Linked DNA regions of Canis lupus familiaris. The protein of the gene in region 2 interacts with the protein of the main gene of each other region in a biochemical or structural test. Links are inferred from orthologs where the notes say so. Each region holds a gene or a part of one and is shown on either strand. Other genes may lie near its edges.

The links.
Region 1: the proteins of RET (region 2) and GRB10 form a complex in vitro, tested with the Homo sapiens proteins (2 studies listed by BioGRID). The link is inferred for Canis lupus familiaris from reciprocal best matches to the Homo sapiens genes RET and GRB10.

Annotation. Positions count from the first base shown.
Region 1 is NC_049239.1:2,102,939-2,106,584, forward strand, and holds part of GRB10 (growth factor receptor-bound protein 10), read right to left. Parts: intron 1,424-3,646; coding exon 1,282-1,423; intron 1-1,281.
Region 2 is NC_049249.1:4,103,871-4,107,516, forward strand, and holds part of RET (proto-oncogene tyrosine-protein kinase receptor Ret), read right to left. Parts: intron 3,072-3,646; coding exon 3,001-3,071; intron 1,726-3,000; coding exon 1,588-1,725; intron 480-1,587; coding exon 380-479; intron 1-379. UniProt on the Homo sapiens protein: Receptor tyrosine-protein kinase involved in numerous cellular mechanisms including cell proliferation, neuronal navigation, cell migration, and cell differentiation in response to glia cell line-derived growth family factors (GDNF, NRTN, ARTN, PSPN and GDF15).

The sequences.
Region 1 (3,646 bases), on a different chromosome or scaffold from region 2:
GCCCCACTGCACACCCTGGTGTCTTGCTGCTAAACCCAGGGTCCCACCCAGCCCCAGTGTTCACTCTACGGTCCCGCTACTCACCCCGGGGTCCCTCTTGGCCCCACTGTTCATCCTGGGGTCCCGCCGCTCACCCCAGGGTCCCACCCAGCCCTGCCGCTCACCCTGGGGTCCCACCACTCACCCCGGGGTCCCTCCCGGCTCCACCGTTCACCCTGGGGTCCCACCCAGCCCTGCTGCTCACCCCAGAGTCCTACCACTCACCCCGGAGTCCCTCCTGGCCCTGCCGCTCACACCGGGGTCCTTTCTGGCCCCAATTCTCACCCCAGGGTCCCTCCCAACCGCACCACTCACCCCGGGGTCCCTTTCGGCCCCAGTGCTCACCCCGGGGCCCCACTCGACAGCTGGGCTTATTTCCCAACTAAAAAACAGAAATAACATTTGTACCTAAATCCTAAAGGTGTTTTGAGGAATAAATTAGTAAATAAAATATGGAAACTTCGCAGAACAATCCTTGGCGAGTGGGACCATCCTGTGAAGGTCGGATGCTCCTGTCGTGGGCATCCTACTTAAGCCACCGCTGCCCACACGGCAGCACGACAGGGTCTCCCTCCCCAGGCTGCAGCCGCCACGCTGACCGGACGGACAGAGCCTGACGATGTGACCTGGGGTAAGTTACAGACGCTCTCCGCATCCCAGGTTCCCCCAGGCCACAGCGGTTCCAGAACATGCAGCTCACAGGCCTATTTTTAAGGTAGAAACTGTTAGTTTAAAAAGGTGGCTGTGGGGATTCCCAGGTGGCTCAGCGGTTTAGCACCGCCTTCGGCCCAGGGCGTGATCCTGGGGTCCTGGGATCGAGTCCTGCATCGGGCTCCCTGCAGGGAGCCTGCTTCTCCCTCTGCCTCTCTATCTCTCATGAATAAATAAATAAAATCTTCCGTGCGCAGGTCACATTCCAGGGCAGGAACATCAAACGCAAACCCTTGGACGGTCAGGGGCCTGAGAAACGCCTCATGCATCCAGAGATCCCAGCCAACGGAATATTCTTGGAGCTAAAATTCATCTTTAAGCACCAGGTCGTTACTTCGCACCATTTGTATGAGCCCCTTTCTACAACACGCAGATGCACCCCTGACCTAACAAGTGGAATTCTGGACAATAAATCAAAAAGTAGCAAGAGGCAAAGAAGGAAGAGGAGAGATCCCCGCTGTCCCCCTTCCTCGCATGGCAATGAGCCCGGCGTCCGTCCTGCCGGCGCCCGAGCCAGGGGCGCTCGCTCACCTGCTTGGCAGCTGCCTGGCCTGGAGGTAGGGAGCCGCGCGTCAGCACCGGCGGGCTCCCGGGGCCGCAGAGCTCGGGGAAGGGGTTGGGGATGGCCGGCAGAGACGAGGTTCTGAGCTGCTGGTCTTCTTCCTGCAGGCGTCTGGGGGGAGAGACACAACCGCGGGTTAAAAGCTGCCGTCGTAAAAAAATATGTAATAATAATAATAATAAACCCAATAAATAAATAACCTATAAATAAGCGCCGCCGTCTCCCGAAGTGATCCCATAATCCCGCCTCTGGGGACGTAGCCCAGGAAACTCCAATAGATACGGGTACCGGGTTCCCAGCAGGCCTGGTGCCCACGGTCAAGAGGCGGAGCGACCACGGCGTGCATCGACGCGTGGACGGGGAAGCACATGTGCTCCACCCTCATAAGGAGACACCTGCTGCCACCGGGATGACGCCGGAGGACACGGTGCCGGGCGACACAAGCCAGCCACAGAAGGACGGATGGCGCGGGACGGCACGTCCGTGGGGCACCTCGGGTCACGGGTCACCATCCCCGGGCTAGCACCAGGCAGGGTGCTGGGGAGGGAGCGGGGGGCGGGGGGCTCCCTCCTGCAGGGTGAGCAAGGCCCCAGGGATCACGGCGACGGAAGTACACGCAGCACCTTGAACTGGTTTGCCTACGGTCGAGACGGCCGATTTTATGGTACGTGCGTTATTCCGCAACAAAAAGTCTGTTTCTGGTTTTTCTTTTAAAGCTGCCATTTCCAGACCCGCAGGGCCCAGATCCCCGCACTCACCGCACAGCCGGGCCTGAGAAGCACCGTGCGAACGCTCCCAGCAGAGACGACGCTCCGTGCGGGACACGTACCAGCCCCCCGCCCCCCGACGGCTCCCCGGCAACGGTGGGCGAGGAGGCTTTGTGAGAAGGAGCATTTTCAGGAGAATAACTGCCCAGGGCCCTGGCAGCGAACACTCCTCCAAACGCATGGAAACACGAGAAGCGGCTTTGCACATCTCGTCTGCATCGTGGAACCGATGCCCGTTTGTACAAAAAGGTGGTCGGGAGTGAATGCATCGGAGGCGAGCGCCCTGTGCCGCGTCCCCCCCAGAGCACGGAAGCCTCGGAAACTCCCCGCAGCGCCCCCCCACCCCGAGGCAGCGCGGAGAGCGCACCACGCTGCCCACCCGCGGGCACGTCCGCCCAAGGCTGCAAGACCCGTGGGTCCTACGACGAGGCCGGGCACCCACGGTAACGGAATCAGGGGCAGTTAGGAAAACAGCGGAAGAAGCAAGTTCAAAGTCGAAGCGAAAAACAACCGAGCGTTGCCTTCCATTGCCTGTCCCGGGTGCTGCGGGCGGTGTCGTGCCCCGGCCACCAGGCGTCCCCCAGGAGCGGGGCCCCCTGTCGGCACACGGGAGGGCACAGCTGTGCCCCTGGGCTCAACACGGCGGACGCGGCCGTGTCCTGTGGACGAATCCCGCTTCTCCCACCCCAGCCTCTGCCATGACCGCGTCCGGCTGACGCGCTGTCCCCTGTGCCAAGGGCAGAGAGGAGGCCGTGCGGCCGGGCCCACTGTCCTGCACCCCGGCCCCGAAGCACGAACCAGTGACCTCCCGCGGCACGAGGGGTTTATTGTGTTTTGACTTATGCAGAAGACACCAACCCCCGATGCTCTAGTTGTTCACCAGAGCTGCTCCCCAGAGGTTGTTCTGGAAAATACTAAAAGCCCCGTATTTAGGGCAGTGAGGTTATCCCATATGGTAGCCCAAGGACGGACTCGCATCATCGTACATGTGTCCAAGCGCACCCACTGAACAAGGAGCGCCAGCCCTCCTGCACACCGAGGACGCCAGGGCCGCCGTGCATCCACGCAGGCTCGCCCACTGTGCCGCCACCTGCTGCGGGATGCACGGCGCAGGGCTGCGGGAAGCGCTCACCAATTTCTCTCAGCTTTGCTATGAACCTGCAACTGCTCTTTCAAAAATAAGCCTTTATTCAAAAAAAAAAAAAAAAAAAAATCCAACCAGACATCGTGCTACGTGAACAAGGCCAGACACAGAAGGACTCCCCTCGTGGAAGCACGCTGACAGGGCGTCCGCAGCAGGGCCACGCAGACTCCGCTGTGTGGCAGGGGGCTTCCGCTGGAGCGGCGGAAACTTCTGGAACCAGGTAGAGGGGGTGGCGGCACGACCCTGGAGAGTACTAACACCTCATACGCTTCCGGCGCTGGGTTTTTTGTTACGTGAATTTCACACTCAACACGTTTTTCTTAAAAATTAAAAGAAAAAAAAAGTGGGGATGCCTGGGTGGCTCAGGGGTTGAGCATCCGCCTTCGGCCCAGGGCATGACCCCGGGGTGCCGGGATCGAGTCC
Region 2 (3,646 bases):
GACGTGCTCCTCTGTTTTTGCCATGGTCCCAACTACTCCCTAGCCACTTCCAACCCCTACTTCAACTTCCACTCTTTCATGTTCCGTTACTAAAAATTATTTTGACTTTGGAATATTTGCCTCCCACATCTGTCTGCAGAGAGTTCTAAGTATAAAGGGAAGAACCTTGGTTTCTTTATGATTTGAGAGGGGGCCTGGCTCAAGGAGTAAGGGTTTGGTTGCAGGCTGCCCTCAGGAGGCAGCATGACAGTCTCCCTTTGCATGGCCTTGCTCTGCCCCTGCACTGGGACCTCCATAGAACTGAGGTGAGGCTGGAGTCCCCCACTGCTGTGTTCAGCGTGCAGGTGGCCAACACAAGGAACTGGCTCCAGGTACTCACTCTGTTCTTAACCATCATCTTCTCTAGGTCTTTGCTGATGTCAGCAAACACTGGCCTCTTGTCTGGTTCCTGCTTCCAACACTGCAGCATTAGACCATACCTGGCGGGAAGCACAGATGGGCAGTTATGACCTTGCAAGGATTGCCCAATCACAGCCACCACACTCAGCACAGTGCCTTCAGCCCAGAAGGCTCTGTTCTCAAACTCAAAGCCATTTCTGCATCACTGACATCCTTCTCTGAGTTGGGCCAGCATCTACGGGGTCACTAGGCCCACTCAGGGTGCCTGGTGTTGTGGTCCAGCATCTTCTGAGTCTCCTTTCCCTTGAGAGAGATTTGTTTTCAATTCCTTTTCAGACGTATTAGAAAACAGCTAACAGGATGCCAAGCCTACTATGGTGGCTGAGGGAGCAATGCCAGTCCTTCAAACACTTATGAAATATTAAGTGGTTGTAGAAAAAACAAGCAAAATATCTGCCAATCACCTGTCTTGTACCTGCCTCACTTCCTCATTTCTCTGGGTCTATGGCATGGCTGCAGGGGCCCCAGGGCTGCTATGTGGGTGTGCGCTGGGCCAGCTGCCTGCCAGCCCAGGCCACCCAGAGAGATGGCACCTGCACTCCCTCATTTAGCCCTGAGCCAGGGTAGTCAGCACACAACAGATTTTGTGGAATGAATGGACCAGTGTGTTTCTGCCTATGATGGTCCCTTTCTCATGTGTTCTCAGCCTGTCCTCTGAGAATTGTCTGCTGGAACCACCATATGTGAAGACTCTGGGGCTCCTGGGCTGTGGTGCAGGGTCCTTATGTCTGCTACCTCCTGACCTCTGTGCTTCCATGTGGGGACTCCCCAACATGCACCTGTCGGCTCATTCTGAATTACCTGCTCCTCCCCAAGTATCCTGCAGGGACAGGCCTTGGGTTTCATCTGCTCCCTGGGTCTGAGGCACCCTTTCATCCTTCCCAATTGCCGCTCATCCAAGTCTCCCCCACACCCTCAGGAAGCACACTCAGTCCCCAATGGAATCAGAGTCCCCAGCATCTGTTGTGGTGCCTAGTGGTGGCTCTCTGACTTCTGGCATGCTCTGCCCTGTTACTATCTACCACCTGCTTCACCCTGGGCTTGCATCCAGGGCTGCTCAGGAGCAGGGAGGGAATGAGTATATTGTCTGTGTCTGAGGGAGGCTGGGCTAAAGCAAAGCCTGCTCACATCTCCTCGCTGCAGTTGTCAGGCCTCTCCATCCGGTAGCCTGTCTTCAGAAGGTTGAAGAGCCGCTCTGGAGGAATCCCAGGGTAGGGGTTGCCCCCCAGAGTCACAATCTCCCACAGCAGGACACCGAAGGACCACCTAAGGGGAGTGAGACAACCAGTGAGTGGCTGTCCTGGGCCAGCGGTGTCCTCCCCTCAGCAGACGATATGTCCATCCTCCCAGCAGCTGTTCACCCCACCAGCCCTCAGTGCAAAGAGCCATCTGGGGCCTGACTTCATGGATGGATGTAGAATGGAGGTGGGGGTAAGCTATCTGCCTGCCCAGCTCTCACCCCTGCAGTGCTGCAGCCCAAGAGGGCCACTGCCCAAGCTCAGACCCCACACCCACGAGGGGTACTTGGCTGGCCCTGTGGAGATGCACCGAAGCATCAGAGACAGCACAAAGCAGCTGAGCAAGTGCAGCAAGGTGCAAGGCGGGGACCTAGGTCACGGGGATCTAGGCCATGAGACCCAGGGCTGCTTGTACCAATTCTTTCACCTTTCTTGTGGGCTTGGAAATTTTCATGAAATCTTAGAAGAAAAAAGGCCCTGACATAGAAAAATATTTAACTGTGAAGTGCGAACCACATTACAAAATAGCATTGTCACATGAGCCCACTTACAGCAACAGACAGCATACACCTGCACATAAGGAGAACACTAGAAAGCCCATGTAGGCCAGGAGCTACAGGAGCTACTTAGAGGCAGTGGGATCCAAGTGACTTCCAGTGTCTTCATTACCCTGTTCTCTGCATTTTCCAACATTTTACATACTCTCAACATAGCTGTTTTGAACTGTTCAGGAGCTGCCTTTCCTCAGCCCACATTATTCAAGACATGCACATCTGTTGATGGCAGCATACTGAGTAACAAGTCTGTTGTGTTTTTGAAAGTTATCTGGTCTTATGATTGGACCTGGAAGGCCAACTTTTAGTTCTCATTTTTTGAGCAGTTTGGGACTCACTCAAGGCCACGCTCCTTGTGGGTGGGGACCATTCTGCTCCCAGGGGAACTTGCCTGAGCCCAGCCCACACTCAGGTCCACAGCCGGGGAACTGCTTGGCTGGGCCTGGGTGGCATGAAGATGCCCAAAGAGGAGAGGGAGGGGCTGCAAAGGGGAGCAGTGAGCGGAACTTGCAGTTACCTGCTCATGGCTCTCATGCACTCCACTGCAACTCTCAGAACCACTGCACAGGTCCCTGCCATTTGCTGAATGAATATACGAAGCTCCCTCAGCTTGCAGGGAGGGGCAGCAGTCATTGCAGATGGTTGGTATGAGCCAACAGGCACTGGTGTCCCAGCCACGCTGCCCAGATAGGCATTGTGGCATATTATACATGTAACCTTGACCCCAGAAAGGCAACACCCACACTTACACATCACTTTGGGTGGTATAGATATGATCGAAAAGAGATTCAATTGCCATCCACTTGACTGGAATCCGACCCTATAAAGGGAATGAGGAAAGGCATTAACATCACTCTGACAACACCCTGGGAACCAGGGGTTAGGGGTGTGGAGGAGGGTGAGGTCATGTCCCAGGCACTCCCGGCTCTGGAAGGATGCTATGTAACGACATGCAGAGTGCTCCCAGATACAGAATTGACAGCAAGTTCCAGAGGGTCTGGAACTCTAATCTGGCATGGCTGAGACACTGGAGGGAGTCAGCTGGCCTGCCCACAGGTACACAGGGCGTGCTTGTCATGCACCACATCCCTGCTGAGAAGAAACCCAAGGAATCATGACTGGCTCACACCAGCCAGGTCCCTTCCCTACAGCCAGGTCCAGAGGGTTCTGGGTGCCCAGGGTGGTGAAGCCCAATGTGTGGGCAAACAACACCATCCAGCAAGATCTCCCGATTTCTGAGGGTGAATGAGTTTGGGATACCAACTTCCAGCACTTCCATCTTGGGGACTTTTGATGAAAACCAACACGCTAAAGGCTTTTCTGAGACACCCCGAGGGAAGAAATCTGTTTCCATGCTTTGGGGCTGCTTCTTTCCCCATCATTTTATCCCAAAGC